Canis lupus familiaris: one gene and its partners. The protein of the gene in region 1 purifies or fractionates together with the protein of each later gene. This does not show direct contact. Links are inferred from orthologs where the notes say so. Each region holds a gene or a part of one and is shown on either strand. Other genes may lie near its edges.

What was found. Proteins that work in one complex are often made in the same cells at the same time.
Region 2: the proteins of RHOC (region 1) and RAP1GDS1 purify together in Homo sapiens (co-immunoprecipitation; 3 studies listed by BioGRID and IntAct, counting the BioPlex papers as one, with this or other methods). This does not show direct contact. The link is inferred for Canis lupus familiaris from reciprocal best matches to the Homo sapiens genes RHOC and RAP1GDS1.
Region 3: the proteins of RHOC (region 1) and DAAM1 purify together in Homo sapiens (affinity purification with mass spectrometry; 3 studies listed by BioGRID and IntAct, counting the BioPlex papers as one, with this or other methods). This does not show direct contact. The link is inferred for Canis lupus familiaris from reciprocal best matches to the Homo sapiens genes RHOC and DAAM1.

Annotation. Positions count from the first base shown.
Region 1 is NC_049238.1:63,591,990-63,600,228, forward strand, and holds RHOC (rho-related GTP-binding protein RhoC), read left to right. Parts: upstream 1-31; 5' UTR 32-140; intron 141-3,194; 5' UTR 3,195-3,202; coding exon 3,203-3,358; intron 3,359-3,892; coding exon 3,893-4,013; intron 4,014-4,333; coding exon 4,334-4,464; intron 4,465-5,300; coding exon 5,301-5,474; 3' UTR 5,475-5,906; downstream 5,907-8,239. Other genes in the region: MOV10 (helicase MOV-10), read right to left, coding at 6,206-6,636, 6,739-6,860, 7,146-7,234, 7,326-7,451. UniProt on the Homo sapiens protein: Regulates a signal transduction pathway linking plasma membrane receptors to the assembly of focal adhesions and actin stress fibers.
Region 2 is NC_049253.1:19,228,250-19,233,642, reverse strand, and holds the end of RAP1GDS1 (rap1 GTPase-GDP dissociation stimulator 1), read left to right. Parts: intron 1-2,992; coding exon 2,993-3,120; 3' UTR 3,121-4,840; downstream 4,841-5,393. UniProt on the Homo sapiens protein: Acts as a GEF (guanine nucleotide exchange factor) for the Rho family of small GTP-binding proteins (G proteins) that stimulates the dissociation of GDP to enable subsequent binding of GTP.
Region 3 is NC_049229.1:34,883,953-34,889,997, reverse strand, and holds part of DAAM1 (disheveled-associated activator of morphogenesis 1), read right to left. Parts: intron 5,973-6,045; coding exon 5,869-5,972; intron 4,681-5,868; coding exon 4,614-4,680; intron 4,389-4,613; coding exon 4,271-4,388; intron 3,839-4,270; coding exon 3,700-3,838; intron 3,414-3,699; coding exon 3,355-3,413; intron 303-3,354; coding exon 115-302; intron 1-114. UniProt on the Homo sapiens protein: Binds to disheveled (Dvl) and Rho, and mediates Wnt-induced Dvl-Rho complex formation. May play a role as a scaffolding protein to recruit Rho-GDP and Rho-GEF, thereby enhancing Rho-GTP formation. Can direct nucleation and elongation of new actin filaments.

The DNA of each region.
Region 1 (8,239 bases):
GGCCCGCCTCGCCCCTCCCTCCCTCCCTCCCCCCCTCCCCCCCTCCCCTCCCCGCCGGCGCTGGAGGAGGGCGGGCCCCCTCCCCGGGTCAGTCTCAGCCTCTGGCCCTGGCCGCGCAGCTGGAGGCGGCGGAGCGGAAGGTACCGGGCCGGGCCGGGGCTCGGGGTGGCGGGGCTCGGGGTGGCGGGGCGTCCCGGGAACTCGTCCCCGGAGGGCACCGTCGCCTCCGTCCGCTCGGCCGCGGCTCGGGCGGGCGCGCGGCGGGGAGGGGGCTTTGGCCCGGCCGCTGCCCCGCGGGGCCTCCGGCCTCCCCTTCCCGGCTTCCCGGAACCCGCCCCGCCGGGCGAGAAGCCAGGAGGCGACTCCGGTCTCGGCGACGGAGCCCCCGGCCCGACGCCCCGGCCCCCATCCGGACGGAGGTGGGAATCCGGGCACGGGGCGCGGTGTGACCCCGGGGCGGCCGCCGCTCGCCGAGGTCTGGTCGCCCCCCTAGACGGCTCCCGAGCGGTCCTGGGGCGGGAGCCGGGAGCCGGGGAGGCCGGAGGCGCAGCTCCCTCGGAAGAGGACCTCCTCTCTCCCAGACCCCTCCCTCCCTGGCACTCCCGGAGCCCTACGGGGCTTGGGCCGGAGGACCCGGCGCTGAGTCCTGCCCTCACTTCTGGCTTGAAAGTCGACGTGGTATCTGATTTCTTCGCCAGCCCTCAGGGCTGGTCTGCAGGCTGCAGCCCACCCTCAGGCATCTGGAAATTTGGAGCAGGATTGAGGGGAGAGGGTGGTTCGTCTTGTCCTAGGGAAGGCCCAGGAGCTGGTGGGCTGCATCCCAGCCTCTGTGTTGGGTTCTGTTGCCCCTCTGAGGGTCAGTAGGGCAGTTCCTGTGGGGCTGCCTTTCACAGGGAGCTGTTTTCCTTGCCAGGTTGGCCTTGGGCCTACTGGCCTGGCCTGGCTTGGCCTAGCCAGCTGCTTTTCTTGCCCAATGAGAGCGTGAAGGGAAAGTCTTTGGATTGAGCTGGGGGCTCCAGATCACTTAATGCATGCCCTTGCCCCTGAATTCTGGCCTCTGTGCCTCCCACCATCTGGTACCACCTAAATGCCCTGCTGCAGGGAGGCAGTGAGTGGCCTGCTCACATCTAAGCAACCGGTTCTCACTGTGGACGTGACTGCCCTTCATCAGCACTGCCCATCCCAGGTGCCCCCAGCCTGTTTTCGCCCAGCTGGGCCAATGGAACTAGCGGGACTGGGTACGGGGGAGTTAATCACTTGGGCAGAATTTCCAGGGAGAACTCCCTTTTTGAAGGTGGTTTCCATCTTTGGAGGGGACCTGCTGGCACAGTGAGTGCCTTGCCTATCTTTTGGGGTACTAGGGGGAGAGCCCCTTTGTGGGGGGGACAGTGTGGCGGTATCCTCTGAATTCCTATAAATTCTCTCTGACTCATCCACTTCCTCTCATCCCACTTGTATGTGTGTGTGTGTGTGTGTGTGTGTGTGTGTGTGTGGAGGGAGGCCACCCAGGATCCCACTGTTGGAGAGAACTAGCTTTGGGCTCAGACTCCTTGCTTTCCTCAAAGGCAGACAAGCCAGGGCTGTGGGGTGGTGGTGGTCTGAGGAGTCCAGGAGCTCAGCCCAGTTTGACAGGATGTGGGTCCGAGAGAAAAAGCCCGGTTTGGGGCAGAGATCAGGTTACCATCCCTTTCTCCCTTAACTGCTGGCTGCCTGGTTGGTGTGGGGACTGGCCCTTTTCTGCTCAGTTTTGGGAGCTCCTCCCAGCTCCGCCTCTGGCCCCCTCCTTCTTCCCTACGGCCTCGCCGCCTCCCGGCTCCAAGTCCGCCCTCTCTTCCTCAGAGGCCGCAGACCTGGGGGAGCCTCAGCTGGCTGGAGAGCAGCTTCTGTCCCCAGGGAGGGAGGAAGTGAGGCTCAGATCCGGGGCTAGGAGGCTGGGAGGCTGCGGAGGCTTGGTGCTCGCTCGGCTGTGCTGGGGCTGGGACCCTACGGAAACCTCGGCAAACTGACTCCTTGCCCTGAGTCACAGGGAGGGGTGGGCAGGGCCTTGGGGTGAGCTAGACAGAGGGGAGGAAGGGGCTGTTCCAGGAGTGGGTGGAGGTGATTCCCTAGTAGATTATTGTGTCACTCGGCCCATGGTGGATGTGTTGCTCCCACAGTATGGTCATTGTCCCCTGCCTGGGGCTGAGTGACCCAGTGTTGCCGCCAGGGCCCAGGAGGATGGGGAGAGGAGGGCAGGCTGCCCAAATGTGGGCTGTGGGCACCGCGGGGACTGAGCCTCCTTTGTGCGACTGGGGCTAGCTTTGGGGACTGGGATGGGGTGGGGTGGGCCGGGGAGGCTGGCTGGCTGCTGCCACTGCCCTCCCTGGGTTTCCCCTCCCTCGGCTCTCTTTCCCATCTCTGAGGTGATCCGTAGAAAAGGTGACAGACCCTAGAGTCATGGAGCCTGGCTTCCAGTGTGCCCCCGCCCCCCCAGCTCTGACACACGAGTCCTTTTTTTTTTTTTTTTTTTGACACGAGTCCTAACCTCACCTAGGTTTGTTTCCCGTTTGTCAGAATGGAAGCGCACCCTCTACCTTCCCAGGCTTCTGGGGACTGAGGGGGATGGTTTTTACCGAAATGCTCAGCAGACTTGCTCTTACCCACCTGTCCCCTGGTAGTTGGCTGTGCCAGCCTGTGGTCTGGAGAGGGACTCCTCACTGCAACGGGGCGGGCATGACCTGCTCTGAGCCAGGGCCGACGTGTCCATGATAGGGCCCTTGTGATTGCTAAACTTTAAAAGTATCAAAATCCTGGTAACAGAGTGTGACTTGAAGCCCTGGTATATAGCAGGTGAAAGCCAGCTCTTCCAGAAGGGGCTCCAACCCTGGAGCCCCCCTCTAGGTGTCCAGGATCTCACAGTTGGCGGATTGGACCAGAAATCTATTTTCTGTCCCCTGGGTGGGTGGTCCTTCCACCTCCCACCCCTGTATTCTAATCTGTCCAGGGACACCTGGCCCTGCCCCCGAGATTAGAAACTTCAAGCTCAGTTGTTTGATCGATTGGTCCTTGGCAAGAACGCACACCTGAGTAAGGCCCTCAACCTCCCTTTGTGGAGGCTTCAGTTTCCAGGAGGTCTTGGGGGCCCCAGAGAAATGTTTTGGGATTTACTGGCTTCTCCTCCTGCCCCCACCCGGCCCCCGCTTCCCTCCTGCCAGCCCCAGCCATGGCTGCGATCAGAAAGAAGCTAGTGATTGTGGGAGATGGAGCCTGTGGGAAGACCTGCCTCCTCATCGTCTTCAGCAAGGATCAGTTCCCAGAGGTCTATGTCCCTACTGTCTTTGAGAACTACATCGCGGACATAGAGGTGGACGGCAAGCAGGTGACCGTGGAGCCCCTCCTGGTGCCCCCGGGGGAACCCACCCCGCCCTAGTCCTACAGCCCTTGGCTGCCCCTCCTCACCATCCATACACTTCCCTGCTCCAGTCTCCCTGCTGGACTCAGTATAAGTCAGGAAGCGAAACTGTAGTTTCAGGACATTTAGAGATGCCTCCTGGTTCTCTGCCCCCCGCCCCCACATCCCATCCATAATCTGGGCCCCCTCCGACTCCAGACTACAAAATGGGGGTAATGACAAGGCTTCCTTTGGAGGTTCTTGTGACTTATGGTCCATTCCTGGTGCTCAGGCGGTGGCTCATGACCTCCATGAAGATCAAGCACCTGTGTCTCAGCATCTCTAGAAACTCACCCAGTTTATGTTGTGTGACAGTGATGAGCATTGTCCCGGGCACATAGCGAGGGCTTTTGTAGATGGATATTGAGTGAACCTAAATGACCAGTGGTTTCAGAGGACCTCTGGGTGGTAAGGGAGGGCCTGGGACCCTCAGGCCAGCTACTCACTGGCCCTTGGCATCAGGTGGAACTGGCTCTATGGGACACGGCTGGGCAGGAAGACTATGATCGCCTACGGCCTCTCTCCTACCCGGACACTGATGTCATCCTCATGTGCTTCTCCATCGACAGCCCCGACAGCCTGGGTGAGGTGGGGTGAGGGCATTGGGAGAAGGGCACTGAGAAGCTCTTGGGACCAGCCCGCTGGGGGCAGATCTCCTTGGCTCAGTTTAGCCACCTTCAGAGATGGGGTGGGGAGAGGTGCCATTAGGCTCCTGCCCCTGCACTATGGGGTGGGGACTCTGGCCCTGGGGAGGATCAGAGGGGCTCTTGAGCCATGAAAGGGACTGTCATGTTGAAGAGCCTCTAAGACAGCTGCGGGGAGAAAAGGGGGCTTGCGGGGGGTGGGGGGGGGCTTTCTGGCCTAAGTGGAGGCACCAACACCTGTTGGGACACGTCTGTGCAGAAAACATTCCTGAGAAATGGACCCCAGAGGTGAAGCACTTCTGCCCCAACGTGCCCATCATCCTAGTGGGGAACAAGAAGGACCTGAGGCAAGATGAGCACACCAGGAGAGAGCTGGCCAAGATGAAGCAGGTGGGTGGGGCTCCAAGGGGGGGGCGGGGTGGAGGACTGACCCTTCAGGGTCTGCTGTCCTGCTGACCTCCCTGGGGGAGGTCTGCCTCCTGCTCCCTTCCACGGTGTAACTAGAAGGGCTCTTAGTCTCTGGTCCCACACCTGGTGAAATTATCAGCAAATGAAGTGATTTATCAAAGGTCACCTGGCATTTTAGTCTATTCATCTGTTGTCCATTCTGTTTGGGTTGGACGATTAAAAGGAGTGAGTATCCCTGTCCTCAGAGACAGCCTCTTACTCTAGATGTTTTGCTTGGGGTAGCCAAAGTCATGCCATCAGAGTATACCTGGGGAGGTGCAGGTGGGAAGGCATCGGACATGGCTGGAAGGCCCGGAGAGCAAGGGAGTTGGCTTACCTGGTAGTGGCTCTCTGGCCAGAGGACTATGTCTATTAAGGAGAGTTGCCAGGGGGATGAGGACTATGGACTACCCTGCAAGTATAATTATGGCACAGTCTTAAACCGGGTCACACCTGTGTGTTAGGATTATTTTGGCAGGCACGGAGCATGGACTGGAAAGAAATGAGAAGGGAGATCCGTTAGGAGGTGCCAGATACTCATTCTGGCAGGAGGAGGGCATACCATGGGGTATGGGGCTGGTGGAGGCAATTTTTAATGTAAGCGTTTGAGTCTTTTGGGTCCTGGCCCAGAAACCACCCTGGGTGGCTGGGGCTTGAGTGCTTTGTGAGGTGAGAGCTGGAAGACGTATTTGTTCTGATTACTACACTTATGGGTAAGGTGGGGGAGAGTTACAAGTAGCCAGCAGCTTCCTTTGACCTCTGGCCTTCTATCTTCTCAGGAGCCCGTGCGATCTGAAGAGGGCCGGGACATGGCCAACCGGATCAGTGCCTTTGGCTACCTGGAGTGCTCAGCCAAGACCAAGGAGGGGGTGAGGGAGGTATTCGAGATGGCCACTCGGGCGGGTCTCCAGGTTCGCAAGAATAAGCGCCGGAGGGGTTGTCCCATTCTCTGAGACCACTGAGGCCTCCCCTGTTCACCCCCCCCCTTCATGGGGGTGCAGAAGCTCCCCACTTCCTGGCCCCACACTTGTTGAAGGAAGGCTTCCTTGTCATTCCCTCCAGCCCAGGACTGCATCTGAGTTTCCCCTGCCCCACCAGACCCCAGGGTGGTGGTAGGCTGGCCCTCCCTGCCCTTCCAGAGCAAAGTCCCTTGTCCTGTTGCCTTGGTCCAGGGGTGAGGCTCTTGATCCCTCAGCCTTCCCCAGAGGATCATCACACACCAGCACTTTATATACTTTGGGCTCACAGGAGTGTCTGGGGTAGGGGACTTGGAGGGTGTATGTCACCCAGAGCCCCGGGTCCCTGGCATTTATGCTTTGGTTGGGGACCTTGCCTCTGGCTGTACTTGGTGGAAGGCATGAATAAAGGCCACAGGTTCCAACGTGTGTGTGGCAGCTTCCCGTTTTTCTCTCCAGGTCCCTGTCTTGGCCATGAGCTAAGAGTCCCATCTCTCCCAAGTTGCTGGCCAGGCTGGCCCCCTGTTTGCAAATACAAGGTTCCTGGGCAGGCAGGGTGGAGTGTCAGAGCAAGGGATGAGGTCATGCCTGGCTCTGGGAGTTGGAGGCGGGTGAGGGGAGTGGTCTGGAGCAGGGGCTAAACTTAGAAGCCTGTGGGTGGTTTCCTTGCCACCTCCCACTGGGTTTCCTCCCCTGGACCTTGGGGGGTGGGGGGGGATCCTCTCTGGCTAGGAGGGGTATGGCCAGAGGCAGAGTGGGACAGTGCCACCCTCCCGGCTGGGGTCCATCTGGGAGCTCAGGAAGGCCACAAGGCCAGAGGGGGCCAGGCAGAGGAGACAAGGAGGCTTTTGCATAGAACAAGATTTTGTTTTCAGTTTTTCTTCCTCCCTCTTCCCCCAATTGTTAGCAGCTTGGTGTGTCATTCTCCCCAGCAGGGGGGAGGGGGTGGAATGGCTTGGGTTGTAAACTCCCTCCCCCAGCCTTCCGGTCCTTTGGAGGGGCAGTGCCGCTGGGCTTGGGTTCAGGCAGGGCTCTGGGGCAGGGGTGTGCGGGTGGTTAAGGCTTGGCTGGTGTGAGAAAGCGGTCTGCTGTGTCTTCAGAGCTCGTTCCTCCACTCGGGCTCTACTTGCAGGGACAGGCCATCTTCTTCCTCCCGCTCCTGGGGGGGGTAGTCATGACTTTGGGGCCCTAGAAAGAGAAGAGGTGAGCCTGTCTTCCATGCCTCCTCCCCTTGTGCTGTCCCCTGCTTGGCTGGTCATACCTGAGGTAGAGGGCCGGAGCTTGCTCAGACCCTGCAGGAGGTTCTGTCCTTGCTGGAGGTCCAGTTTGGCCGGGAAGGGGCAGCCGGTGTAGCCCCCGTTTTCTTTACAGAACTCCAGGAATCTGTGGGTACAGGAACATTCACACGGAGCTGTGCAGGCTGGCTGAGGAGCACATCAGATGCTGGAGGCTAGAGGCCAGGCCTTGGTCCTACTACCTTTGCCTGTGCCTTTGGGCCACTTGCTTACCCTCTGTCAGGTCACTTAAAAGGGGCCTTGTGGGGACCAGGAACAGACCTGAACAGACCTGTGCATTAGCTGGGCCACCAGGATGTGCCTAATAGCGTTCCAACTGCCCCAGGCTGGGAGCTGCGGCTCCTGAGAGGGGTTAGGGGCTGGGAATGCTCACACTTTCCAGTCGGGGTCGTGGCCCAGGAGGAGTGGGTTGCCCACCACGATGAGCAAGGCCTTGGCGCGGGTCACTGCCACGTTGAACCTCTGGAAGGAGGGAGGGGCAGGGTCATGGGAGGGAAGGACCTGAGGAACAAAAGTGCTCCTCAAGCCAGCCGCCAGCCGCCAGCTCTCGAACCTTGGGGTTCTTGAGGAAACCCAGGTTAAAGTCCAGGTCCAGCTGCACAAAGCTCTGACTGCTCCGCACGGTGGAGATGAGAATGACGCTGCGTTCCTGGCCTTGGAACTCTTCCACGGAGCCCACCTGCAGGGGGACACAGGGCCTGCCACCAGGGGGCTCACAGGGGAAGCAGGGAGGGGGGTGGGGGAGTGGGGGAGGGGGGTTCTCTCGGAGAGAAGTCCTAGGGCACAGGGAGGGAGCAGGAAAGAGCAGGACGCCCTGGAAGCCAGACCTGATGGGTGAATCCAGGGAAATGGGTGCGGGTTGGAAAGGGTTCTAAGCTAAGAAAACAGTGGCCAGGACCCACTAACTCGGAGCAGTGGTTTCCAAACTTCCTGAGAGACAATCACTAAGTACTTGTTAAAGATAAACAACCCAGACCTCCTAACCAGGAGGCCTCTCAATCTTGAGGCGCTGGTTTCCAGCCCTGGCTGTGCGCTAGGTCAAGTGAGGAGCCATAAAGAAACCGCGATGCCCTGGCTCTGCCCTCAGATAGCTGTGCTAACCAGCCGGGTGGGGCTCTGGCACGGGCTGCGCTAAAAGCTTTCCAGGGGATTCTTATCTGCCACCAGTGTTGAGAGCCACCACCTGAGAGTCCAAGAACAGACTGACTCAGAGGGTGGAAATGGGAGCGGGGACACTTATCACATGACAGGTCAGGCAGGCTGGGAGTTTGGACTTTATCCTGAGGGCAGAGGCCTCCAACCAGCCTGGCGGGGAGCAGCAAGGATCTGGGGAGTTCTGCTTGGTCCCGACCCAGGCGCACAAGCCTGGGATCTGCTGGAATGAGGCCTGGGGAGAGCCCCCGCTGTGGCTCAGGCAGTGAGGTGGGGGGGCCTGGGGAGCTTCTTGAAGTGCGGCAGATATGGGGC
Region 2 (5,393 bases), on another chromosome or scaffold:
ATTTGGGAAAAAATTTTCAGGTACATTTCCAGCCCTGCCCTATTTCTCCTCTCTTTTCAGGTCTCTAATGGCATGGGTGTGAGATCTTTAGTTATATCCCACAGGCTTCTGAGGTTTTGTTCATTTTTTTCAGATTTTCTCTCTCATTCAAATTGGGTGATTCCGGGTAGCCCTTGTGGCTCAGCGGTTTAGCGCCGCCTGCAGCCCAGGGCGTGATCCTGGAGACCTCGGATCGACTCCCACATCGGGCTCCCTGCATGGAGCCTGCTTCTCCCTCTGCCTGTCTCAGCCTCTCCCTCTCTGTCTCTCATGAATAAATAAATGAAATCTTTAAAAAAAAAAAAATTGGGTGATTCCTATTGTTTTGTCTTAAAGCTCACTGATTTCTTAGGTCCCCTCCATTCTGCTGTTGAGCCTATACACTACGTTTTTATTTCAAGTACTATAGTTTTGAGTTCTAAAATTCCCATTTGCAGCTTCTTTATGTCTTGTTTCCTTGCTAAGACTGTTATTGAGGCATTTTTAAATGTAGAATATACATAAAATTTACCATTGTAACCATATTTATTTATTTCATTTTTTATAACCGTTTTTAAATGTACAGTTCAGTGGCAGAGTAGTACATTCACATTGCTGTACAACCATCACCACCTTTCTTTCTTCCCAAACTGAAACTCGGTACCCTTTAAAAAATAACTCCCCAATCACCCATTCTCCTAGCTTTTGGCAACCAATATTCTATTTTCTGTCTCTATGAATTTAACTACTCTAGGTACCACATATAAGTGGAATCACACAATATTCTTTTTTTGTGTCTTATTTCATTACCATAATGTCTGCAGGGCTCATCCATGTTTTAACCTGCATCAAAATTGCATTCCTTCTTAAGTCTCATTGTATGTATATATCACATTTTGTTTATCCATTCATTTATCAATGGACCTTTGGGTTATTATAAATAATACCACTATGAAAATATGGGTACACAGTATTTTTTCAGTCCCTGCTTTTAGTCACTTTGGGTATATACACAGAAGTGAAATTGCTCTATCATACAGTAATGGTTATATTTAATTTTTTGAGGAATCTCCATACTGTTTTCCACAGTGGTTACACCATATTACATTCCTACCAGCAATGCACATGGGTTCCAATTTCTCTAAATCCTTTTTTTTTTTCTATAATAGCCATCCTAATGAGTATGAGGTGTTACCTTATTTTGCTTTTGATTTCCATTTCCCTAATGGTTAGTGATGTCGGGGAGCTTTTCGTGTGTTTGTTGCCCACTTATATAGGTTCTTTGGGGAATGCATATTCAAGTCCTTAGCCCATACTTTAATCAGGTTATTCTTTTGTTGAGTTGAAAAGGTTTATATTTTTGGGATATTAATCCCTTAATAGATATATGATTTGCATTTATTTCTCCCATTCTGTGGGTTGCCTTTTCAATCTATTGATAGTATCCTTTGGTACCCAGAAGTTTCTAATTTTTATGAAGTCCAATATCTCTCTTTCTCCTTTTGTTACCTGTGTTTTTGATACATATCCAAGATATCATTGCTAAATCCAATGTCATTAAGTTTTTCCTTTTAAGAGTCTTAGAGTTTTAGCTCTTAATTTTTGTATATAAGGGCTTATGGGGGATCCCTGGGTGGCGCAGCGGTTTAGCGCCTGCCTTTGGCCCAGGGCATGGTCCTGGAGACCTGGGATTGAATCCCACGTCGGGCTTCTGGTGCATGGAGCCTGCTTCTCCCTCTGCCTATGTCTCTGCCTCTCTCTCTCTCACTGTGTGCCTATCATAAATAAATAAAATTTTTTAAAAAAATTTAAAAAAAGGGGGCTTATGGCTCTCCTGTTTCACCAGCACCATTTGCTGAAAAAAATGTCCTTTCCTTATTGAATGGTCTTGACATCTTTTTTTTTTTTTTAAGATTTTATTTATTCATGAGAGACACAGAGAGAAAGGCAGAAACACAGGCGAAGGGAGAAGCAGGCATCCTGTGGGGAGCCCAATGTGGACTCCATCCTGGGGCCGGATCATGCCCTGAGCTGAATGAAGGCAGACGCTCACTGCTGAGCCACCCAGGTGTCCCATATGGTCTTGACATCTTTGTCAAAAATATTTTGACTGTATATATGGGGCTGTTTTATTTCTTGATCTATAGCTCTGTCTTTATTTCAGCACAACACTGTTTTGATTGTTAAGCTTTAGAGTAGATTTTGAAATTAGAAAGTTTGAGACCTCCAACTTTGTTCATTTTTGAGATTGTTTTGAATATTCAGACTCTTCAGCTTCCATCTGAGTTTTAGGATGCATTTTTCTGTTTCTACTCAAAACATTATGTCTAGTTTTAGACCTTACCAACTTACTAAATATATCAGTTTGAGGAATGCTGATTGCATTAAGCTTATTAGATGTCAGTTTTCTCATCTAACAGTCTCCAAGTCTTGAGAGTCTTTTATTTTCCTGTAATTGAGGTTAAAAAGAGCAAGAAAGCCAGAAGGAGGAAGATCAGAAATCTAAAAGGGAAAGCTATTGTCACAGAAATTTGTTGAAGGGATATGAAGTATAACCTTTTCATTTACCAGAAAATTAATTTGAAACTGATCTAAAATTTCTAAGATTTTTTTTGTAAGTCATTGGACTTCATATTTGAACTGATGATAGGGTCAAGGAGTATATAACTGAAACTTGAGATTATACAAAGACCTGTGTTTCATTATAACTCATGACTCTAATCAAACTTAGACTGTACAACTTGACATTTGTCTGTCTATAAATATGGCAAGTAAAGTTCCCTTGATACATCTCTAATGAAGACATTTCTAGGCTACTATAGAATTGTTCCTAGTTTTATAACTTGGTATCATCCAAGTAAACATTTTGGGTATATGTATTGTATAGTAAGATTTAGGTGTATGATAGATTGTATAGTAACATTAGAACAATTTAACAGATGCATTATCTGTTATCTTGGTTTTTGTCTTCCAGAATCTCTACACAAGGAAGTACAGGATTTGGCCTTTTTAGATGTTGTATCCAAACTTCGCAGTCATGAGAACAAAAGTGTTGCCCAACAGGCCTCTCTCACAGAGCAGAGACTTACTGTGGACAGCTGAGAACTGCCCCTCCCTGATACATGGCATCATCCCAGCTCTGATTTCCCCTTTGTCCTCCATCTTCTTCCATATCACTTGTGCATGCGTGTAATGTTCCAGTACCAATTGAAGAACTGCTGTAGGTACCTGCCCAATAAGATTTCTAAACCCATAGTTAGTGTAAACATGAATTTGTCAAAAACAAGTCTCCACCCATAACTGTTCTCTTGTATTCCTGTTGCTTGAGCTACATTAAGTAGAATGTGCATGTTGTAGTCCTATGATGATGTAAACTTGGTACTACATAATGACTTGCTCCTCACACTTGGTAAAACTACATAATAATGTACTGGTAAATTAGAAACAAACAAGAATGCAGCAGGATCTGTCTAGCTTTTAAAGATGGAATTGAATAGTAAAAATAGCTCCATTTTTTGGTGCTTGGGAAGCACAGTGACCAAAAAACTGTATGGCTGCTCATTCATTAGTCTTACCTACTAATGTCAAACCCATGGTACCTAGAGTTAAATAAAATCCAATGCTCTCACTCTTTACCCTATGGTTTCTCCTTCTTCCTAACTATGTAGACTCCTGAAATTGCCACAAACTTGGCAAGGCTTCCTTGTGGTTTTTTAATTTTTATTTAATTCGCTGTCATCCATAGCTTAACATTGAAAATATTTGTGTTTTTCAGCATGAAACTAAAGGGTTGAAGAATCTGTGTTACACTAAGTACATATTTTGGGGGGTTTTTTGGCCTATATTTTAGAATCTGATATATGTACATTTTGACATCAGCATTGTCCAACACTTGTCTTTAATGTTCACTTGGCATTTGTTTTCAACTGAGAAATTGAGTATAGTTCATTGGAAGGTGGGTTGTAGAGGTTTTGTTGTGGGTTTTTTTGTTTTTTTGTGGCAGTTTTTCATCAGAAGTTTCCTCTGTCCTAGTCCTTTTAAATCTTATATTAGAACTAGCAGGACATAGAAAAAAAAAGATTAAGAAAGAAGTTTGTCTATACTAAAGAAAGGAAGCAGGTTATAAAAGCCATAGTTGCCAGTCTAGTTCATTCTGCAGATGGCCTCATACCAGTAGCTGTTAGAGTTTCCCACCTCCACTTGCCACAGAGAATTGCACTAGATCTCACAACTATCAGAAAAAAGTGACAACGCCAAGACTCAAGAGATGAGAAGACCCTCTTGGCGAAATATAGTGTACTCTTCACTGCCACTACCACCACCAAATGGGTTTTTAGAACTTTGAAACACAATCTTTGTAAATTAACCAAAAGATCCCTGTGACATACCCTGTCTTGTCCCCATGCACAAGCTTGACAAATACTGGCTGAAAGGTATGATGGGCTCCATTATGGAAGGGCTGTAGGGCAGTAGAATGGGCTGCCCAGGGTGACAAGAGCTCTTTCCTCTCCAGTGGGAGATACTGCACATATCTATGGGGTGACTGAAGTTGGACTTTTGACTCTGAAACAGGTATAATTCAAGAAAATTAAAACCTCAGTGGAGGTAAAGAAACTGACTGATTATTCCCTTTGATGTCCAGGAAAGGGACTATTATTTTGAATGCTTATGCTACACTTACTGTAAGAATGGTATTGTTTACTATCTTCTTCTGGGCTGGATAGTGGACTATATTTTATTATAGGTTTTGAAAAACATCTGTAATGTTGAATAGGCTGTCCATATTATTAACTAAATAAATAAATAGTATATCAAACTGTAATGGCATCATTTGGTTTGTTTGTATATTTCACTTCTGTTTCCAGCTCCTAGAACAGTGATTGCTCATTGTTGATGCTCAGTAAGTATTTGTTGATGAATTCCCGATTTTATAAACTTCCAGATCCCCTAAAGTAATTCCAGATAGATTGGTAGAGAAATGACATTTAGATATTTGTCTGGCTTCAGAGAATCTTTTCAATAGGATCAGTCCTTATTGAAAAGCATCATATAGGGCAGCCCGGGTGGCTCAGCAGTTTAGCGCCACCTTCAGTCCAGGGCCTGATCCTGGGGTCCTGGAATCAAGTCCCACGTCAGGCTCCCTGCATGGAGCCTGCTTCTCTCTCTGCCTGTGTCTCTGCCTCTCTCTCTCTCTCTGTGTGTCTCTCATGAATAAATAAATCTTTAAAAAAAAGAAAAAGAAAAAAGAAAAGCATCATATAGAAAACAGAACAGAGGCATCCAAAAATTATAAATTTCAGAGAAACCATCATCTGGGCCAGCTACCAGCAATCAATTGATATGCTAGGAATTCCCATCTCCAACAAAACAAAGTG
Region 3 (6,045 bases), on another chromosome or scaffold:
AAGACTTATATCCCCAGGCAGAAGCTGTCTGCCTAAGGTGAGGGGCTCCAGGGTAAGTGAGGCCTCGGCAGCTGCCCAGAAATAGAAGACCCAGCCCGTGGCCCCGGCCCTCACCCTGCTGAGCTCGTGGAGCTGTGCTGTGAGATCTGCCACCTGCTGCTTGACTTGCTTATGCTCACTGGTCTCCTTTTCAAGTTTCTCTTTCATTTTATTTAAGGTCTGCATCATCTCTTCTTTCTCTTGGGTCTTGGCATCACATTCGCGCTCTTTCTTTTCCAATTTCTGTTGTAACTCATTGTGCTCTACACAAGAAAACAATGGGACATGAAAATAGGGGACTCTTCAAAGCTGAAGTGCTTTCTCTAAACAGAAAATTGGCTGAGGATGATTGTGAGGCTCTTTATTAGGTAAATATTATTTCTCTGTTCCATCAAAGGGAACGACTTGTGGGCTCAGGGGTGTTGGTGCTTTTGTGCTTGGAGGGGTCCTTAGATGAACAGCATTATTAGCTACATTTTGTAAAATACCGAAAAAGAGATCCTAAAGTCACAGTTCCAAAGATGCACACAGTGTGAGAAGAGAATGGTGCCTATTTGGTACTTAGCTCAGGATCCGGTCATAAAAATGCCCCTTTAACCACTCTAGGGAAAACAAATATTAAAAGGGCCTCTTTTCACAAATTAGAAATGAGAACTAGAGAAGCCATTGTTTATTAGCTAGGTTTCTGGCTCATGTCCAAGGAGCACAGGACTGAAAGGGAGGATCTTGCTCTGTGAGGAAATGCTGATGCCAGATCGCGTCTGTCCCAACATGGAGTCCTTTCTCCCCTTCTACTCTCAGAAGGCTACTTGGGACTTGAACTATCTCATGCTTCTGGCAAATAACTCTTAAAACTTGTGAAAGCAAATGTTATCATCTCAGCATTAAAAACCTTAAGGGCAGAGCATAAGAATCACTATAATCTGGGGAGAAAATATTAGCTCTCAGCTGTAATTTTACTGACTTCCCAATCCTGCTCTAATGGAACAAGGCATCCAATTTAGCCTAATGCTTATTTACACTGCCAATATGCCTACTGACTCCAGCCCTTACAGGAGTGAGAGAGGCTTTGGGAAAGAGGACTAATGAATTTTAGGCTGCAGATTTTTATTTCAAATACTTGGCCCCAATTCCTACTCTTTTTATATAGTAAACCCACTAGAGATATAATCCACTGGGGCAGAGCTACACAGATTTATTAGTCTCTATTTCTGAATCTGATAACACATTTAGATTCTTGTTTTCTCCATCTCTTACTTTCTCTCTTCTGAGTTCCCCCAAATCAACTTACAGAAAAAAGTTCAACCATTAAAAGCCTTGAAGTTAAGATAACCATCAATCCACTTCTGCTTTGCAAATGTGTCCCCAACTTCTTCAGAGATTTGTCTAAAAAGTACCTTACTGCACCCCATTTTCCTTCTTTTATCTCCACTTCACTTCTCTTCCACAATTGTTAAGATTTGCCTCTTATGGTCATGAAGCTTTGACAAATCCAGCTGTGTCTCAGAACCACCTGAGAGATTTTAATATCTTGGGAGTCTGTTCTATGGGGGATGCAGGGGGCGGGGGGATGGGTTGGAGAACAGGGCTTAGGAATTTGTTTTCAGATGCTCCTTAGAAAATTCTGATGTAATACCAGGTCTGGGAAGCTGCTGTCAAAGGATTCTCTCCACAAAGGACATCCATTTATCTCCACCTTTCAGGGCCCAAAGAACTTCCTATCTCCTCATAGCCTTCACCCTCTAGTTCATCAACATGTGCCCTCTATAATAATACAGCCTTGCTACTTGAAGCTTTCAGAAAATAATTTTTTATAGATAATTAATTAATTATCTATAATACCCCCTCCTTTATACTCCCCCTGTGACCTCACTTTAAACAATCCTGTTTGGCCCTACTGACCTTGGCCATTGTCTCTTGTACCACCTCCGCCACCCGAATCCTACCATAGTCCCTATCATTTACTAGGCAACTGGTATGTGACAGGCACTGTGTTAGAGTCTTTATATTTGTTCTGTCATTTAATCTTTGCAACAACCCTGTGAGTTAGACGTGATCTTCATCTTAGGAGAAGTGTGGAGAAGAGAATGTGACTGCCTACGCACACACAAAGAGCCCAGCATAGTACCTAATGCATACAGGTATTTGACAAGCATCCACTGAACAAATGACTGAAGGACTCTGAAGCTTCTGTCCTGTGTACTCTACTCCACTTGCACATCTTAATCCTCATGCTCTAGACTATACTCCTTAAGTATCACCCGATCATTTTCTCTTTGTTATCATCTCTTCACCCCAAACTTTATAGTCAGTGTTTCTCTTCTTTCTATAGCAGCTTCTGGAATCTATTAATAAAAATGTATGTGGCAACCTCACCAATGTGAGAACAATCTGAATTCACGTGAGGGACTTGTAAGTATACTTCATGTTTGGCAGTTTCCATTATCGGTGGCCTGGCTTTTCTGCTCAATGGAAAAGGACAAATATGACAAGGGAAAAGGAAATGCTCTGGCATCTCTTGGACCCTCTTTCAACACACTGACTATCAGGGTGAGTGCTATTGTGTTTCACTGGCTGTGGCTAAATAACTTGGACAAGGAAAAGGAAGTCAGTTAACCAGCAGAGAGAAAGAGCAGAGGCCAGGAATAGGACTGTTTTCACAAAAGGACCAACTTTAAGTTACTGGTATTTTGAAGGAAACATATCCACTCTCTGAGAGGCTGGCACAGTGATGGGCACAAATGACCCTCCTGTCATCTGATGCTGAGTCTTAATACCAAAGACATGTTCAAATACTCACCAAGAGCTGGTGTATGAATGCATCTATCTACAACAGTGAGTGATTTTCTAGATGATTTTTCTTTTTATAAGTGGTGCCAAATTAAGGTCACGTGGAGGATGGGGCTGCTGAATCAACTGGCCTGGGTTTTTCTTTTAAAATTCTGGTTATTCATGATGTTCTTTATTACATATCTTAAAATCTAGTGTGATTTAAAGAGCAGTTATGGGGTAGGGGCGAGGGCTGGAAGGAGTGGCAGTTAAGAAAATCTGAATTTATGAATACCAAAATGCAAATGCTATAAGGTCTTCCAAAAAATTTACATAATTATAATAAAAGGATAAAATATTTGGCAGTCAGTATGACAACTGAAATAGCTTCATTTAAGAGAAAAGAGGGCAAAAATGCCTTTATGACATAGAAAAAACTAATGCACTAAAGTCAGTAAGAAGTATCAGCACAAATTTCTAAAATATGCAGAGCAGAGTTGCCCAATAACCAGTAACATGTCCCCTTGTCAGGACCTCATTATTTACCTTTTCTCATCTTTTCTGCTTGTTCTTTCCACTGCTTAACTTCATTTTCATTAACCAACCTGTATAATAGTTAAAGGAGTATTCATTATAAAAAACATAAAAGGCCCATTGTCAAAATACACGCTCTCTAGGTACAAAAAATAGTCCAATGCGGAGAAAATCATCAGCATGCTTGAAAACCATTTAAACTCAGAGGTCACTGAGATATATTACATATGTATATGGAGGAACTCATATTTGGCCTCTAGAACATTTCAGTTCTCTCAGCTGCTACTTTAAAGTAGGATACAATAAATGTCTTACATGGTGACTATTACCTCACAGACAGCAAAATAAGAAACTTACATCCGTACAACATTCTTTATGTTAAAGTTTTCCAAAGGTGTGGTGTCGGGGTCCTGTCCTTTGTCATTCTGAATAACTATTTGCTGTACGATTCTATCTAGTAGTAGCCAATACTGAACGGTGTTGCCACTTCTCTTGTCTAAAAAAGAAAAGAATTATAGAAAAACACTTCAAGTTGTTTCTAAACTAGGTTGAGTATTTTTCAATAGCAGTCATCCACCAGAGCCACAGAACCAGAGATGTTTACAACATTTGCACTAGCACTTCTCATAGCCTCTGGAATTCTGACATGCAATGATCATTTATGTGACTGAGAGGCACTTTCTACCCCTTTCGAAATGTGTTGCAAGTCATATATTTATTTTTAAAATCAAAGTAGGTGATAATTCATTTCTTTTTTGGAATGTCACAATACCTCCTGAGCTGTGTGGAAACACTTTGGACTGTCATAAAACCAAGGTCTGGAATCCCTGGTGTGCACCCAACCTAATCAGCACTATTCAGAAGACACAGCCCTTTGGATGATGTCCAAACATTCAAAAGCACACATGTAAGTCACAAACACACTCACAAGGCATTTGGAGGCAGTGGTGCAGGATGGACATGAAGTGAGGGTAAGCTTCACTATGGGTCAGCCTCTTCCTGGTCAGCTCAAACATCTGAGTCGCACTTTTTGTGTCTATGTGAACCTATTCCATATGAAAAAGAAATCTAAGTCAAACACCCAATATCCTCAATACCTGCAATGCAAGCAAATCCAAGGCAAACAGAGCTAATCCTGCCACTTAGGTAGCAAAACAGAACTTTGATTTTGCTCTTTGGTTATACCCAGTCCATGTCAACTTAACACATGTTACACCAGGGAAATTCCATGAGTTGATGAGTTAAATCACAGTAATTGTGAGCATACATACCAGTTCAAATCTTTTGGCAAATTCTAGCTCATCTTCATTTCGGAGCATTTCAAAAAAATCTAAATGCCTGAAATCCAATAAAAGAGAAGCTATTAAAAGTAGGACATACTCTAAACACAAGCACGTAGGAATCAGGACGTTAATACTAAGGCTTTTCCTAAATATTCAGAGATTTCTCTAAAAGAAATAAGACAAAATTTGAATGCCTTTGCTTAACTATGTTCTAAGGAAAAAGACATACTCTGACTGAAATAACAATAAGAGACAAACTTAAAAGCCTAGGATTCCTAGTACATAGTAGACAATTAATAAAGGTCTATCAAACTCAAAACCATCAAGTCCAGATTCTGCTCACAGACTCCATTTATGGAAAAACCTACCCATATATCTACACTTGCCTGACTGATGAATTAAGACCACAAAATAAATATTCACGCCATTAACCTATTCATTTTAAATATTTATTGAGCCCCTTCTATGTATTTTAGACACTAGGGATGATAAGTTCTATTAAGACAAATACATCAGGGTAAAGGCAAAAGAGAATGAGAGGAGGTGAGGTGAGTTGTGTATACACACTGGCTGGAAAAGGTCTGACAGGTATAAGGGAATAAGAAATTTGGACATCTGTAGGAAGATCTTTGAGTGCTGAGAAAAATGGCAAATGCAAAGGCCCTGGGGCAAGAGTATTTTAACATGTTCATACAATACTAAGGAGAAGAGCATGTCCGAGTATATGAATGAGGGAGAATGGTAGAAGGAAAGATCTGAGAGCTAGTGAGATATCTTAGAAGTAGTAAAATGATTGCAAACAAGTGCAAATGAATGAGAGTGAAAATTCACATTCATAGAATGCCTATCAAAGGTGCCAAGTGATTCTGTGTTTTATAGTCAATCTTTCTAACCACTCATAAAAGATAGTTGTCATCATTATTATTATCACTACATCACTATTTCTCAAAAAAAAAAAAAAAAAACCCAAAAAACAAAACAGTTAAGATTCAGAAAAATTGAGTAACTCGACCAGAATTCATAGCAGGTTAAGATGTAGGACAAGGATGTGGATTCAGTATGATGCCAGAACCCACATTAAGTTCTGTACAATGTGCTGCTTCTTTCACTGAGAAAGTCTTACATAAAAGCACCATTAGTTGAACTAGTATTCAGGGGCCAGTGTCTTATGTTACAGAAAGTTCAGAGGCACACACACATGGAAAAAGCATGAACTACCTCAGATGATAACAGTTTGACTTACCTATCTAATGTTGAATTTTCATGTTCCCTTAGTTTATCTATTACAGGTTGAATTCCTAACATCAGAAATTCATAGCGAAGATGAAGTCTAAAGTCCAAACTTTCCTGAAAGTGAGAGGGTAATAAAATACATATTTGTGCTTTTTGGACTACACCGAAATCTTTTTTAAAAAGATTA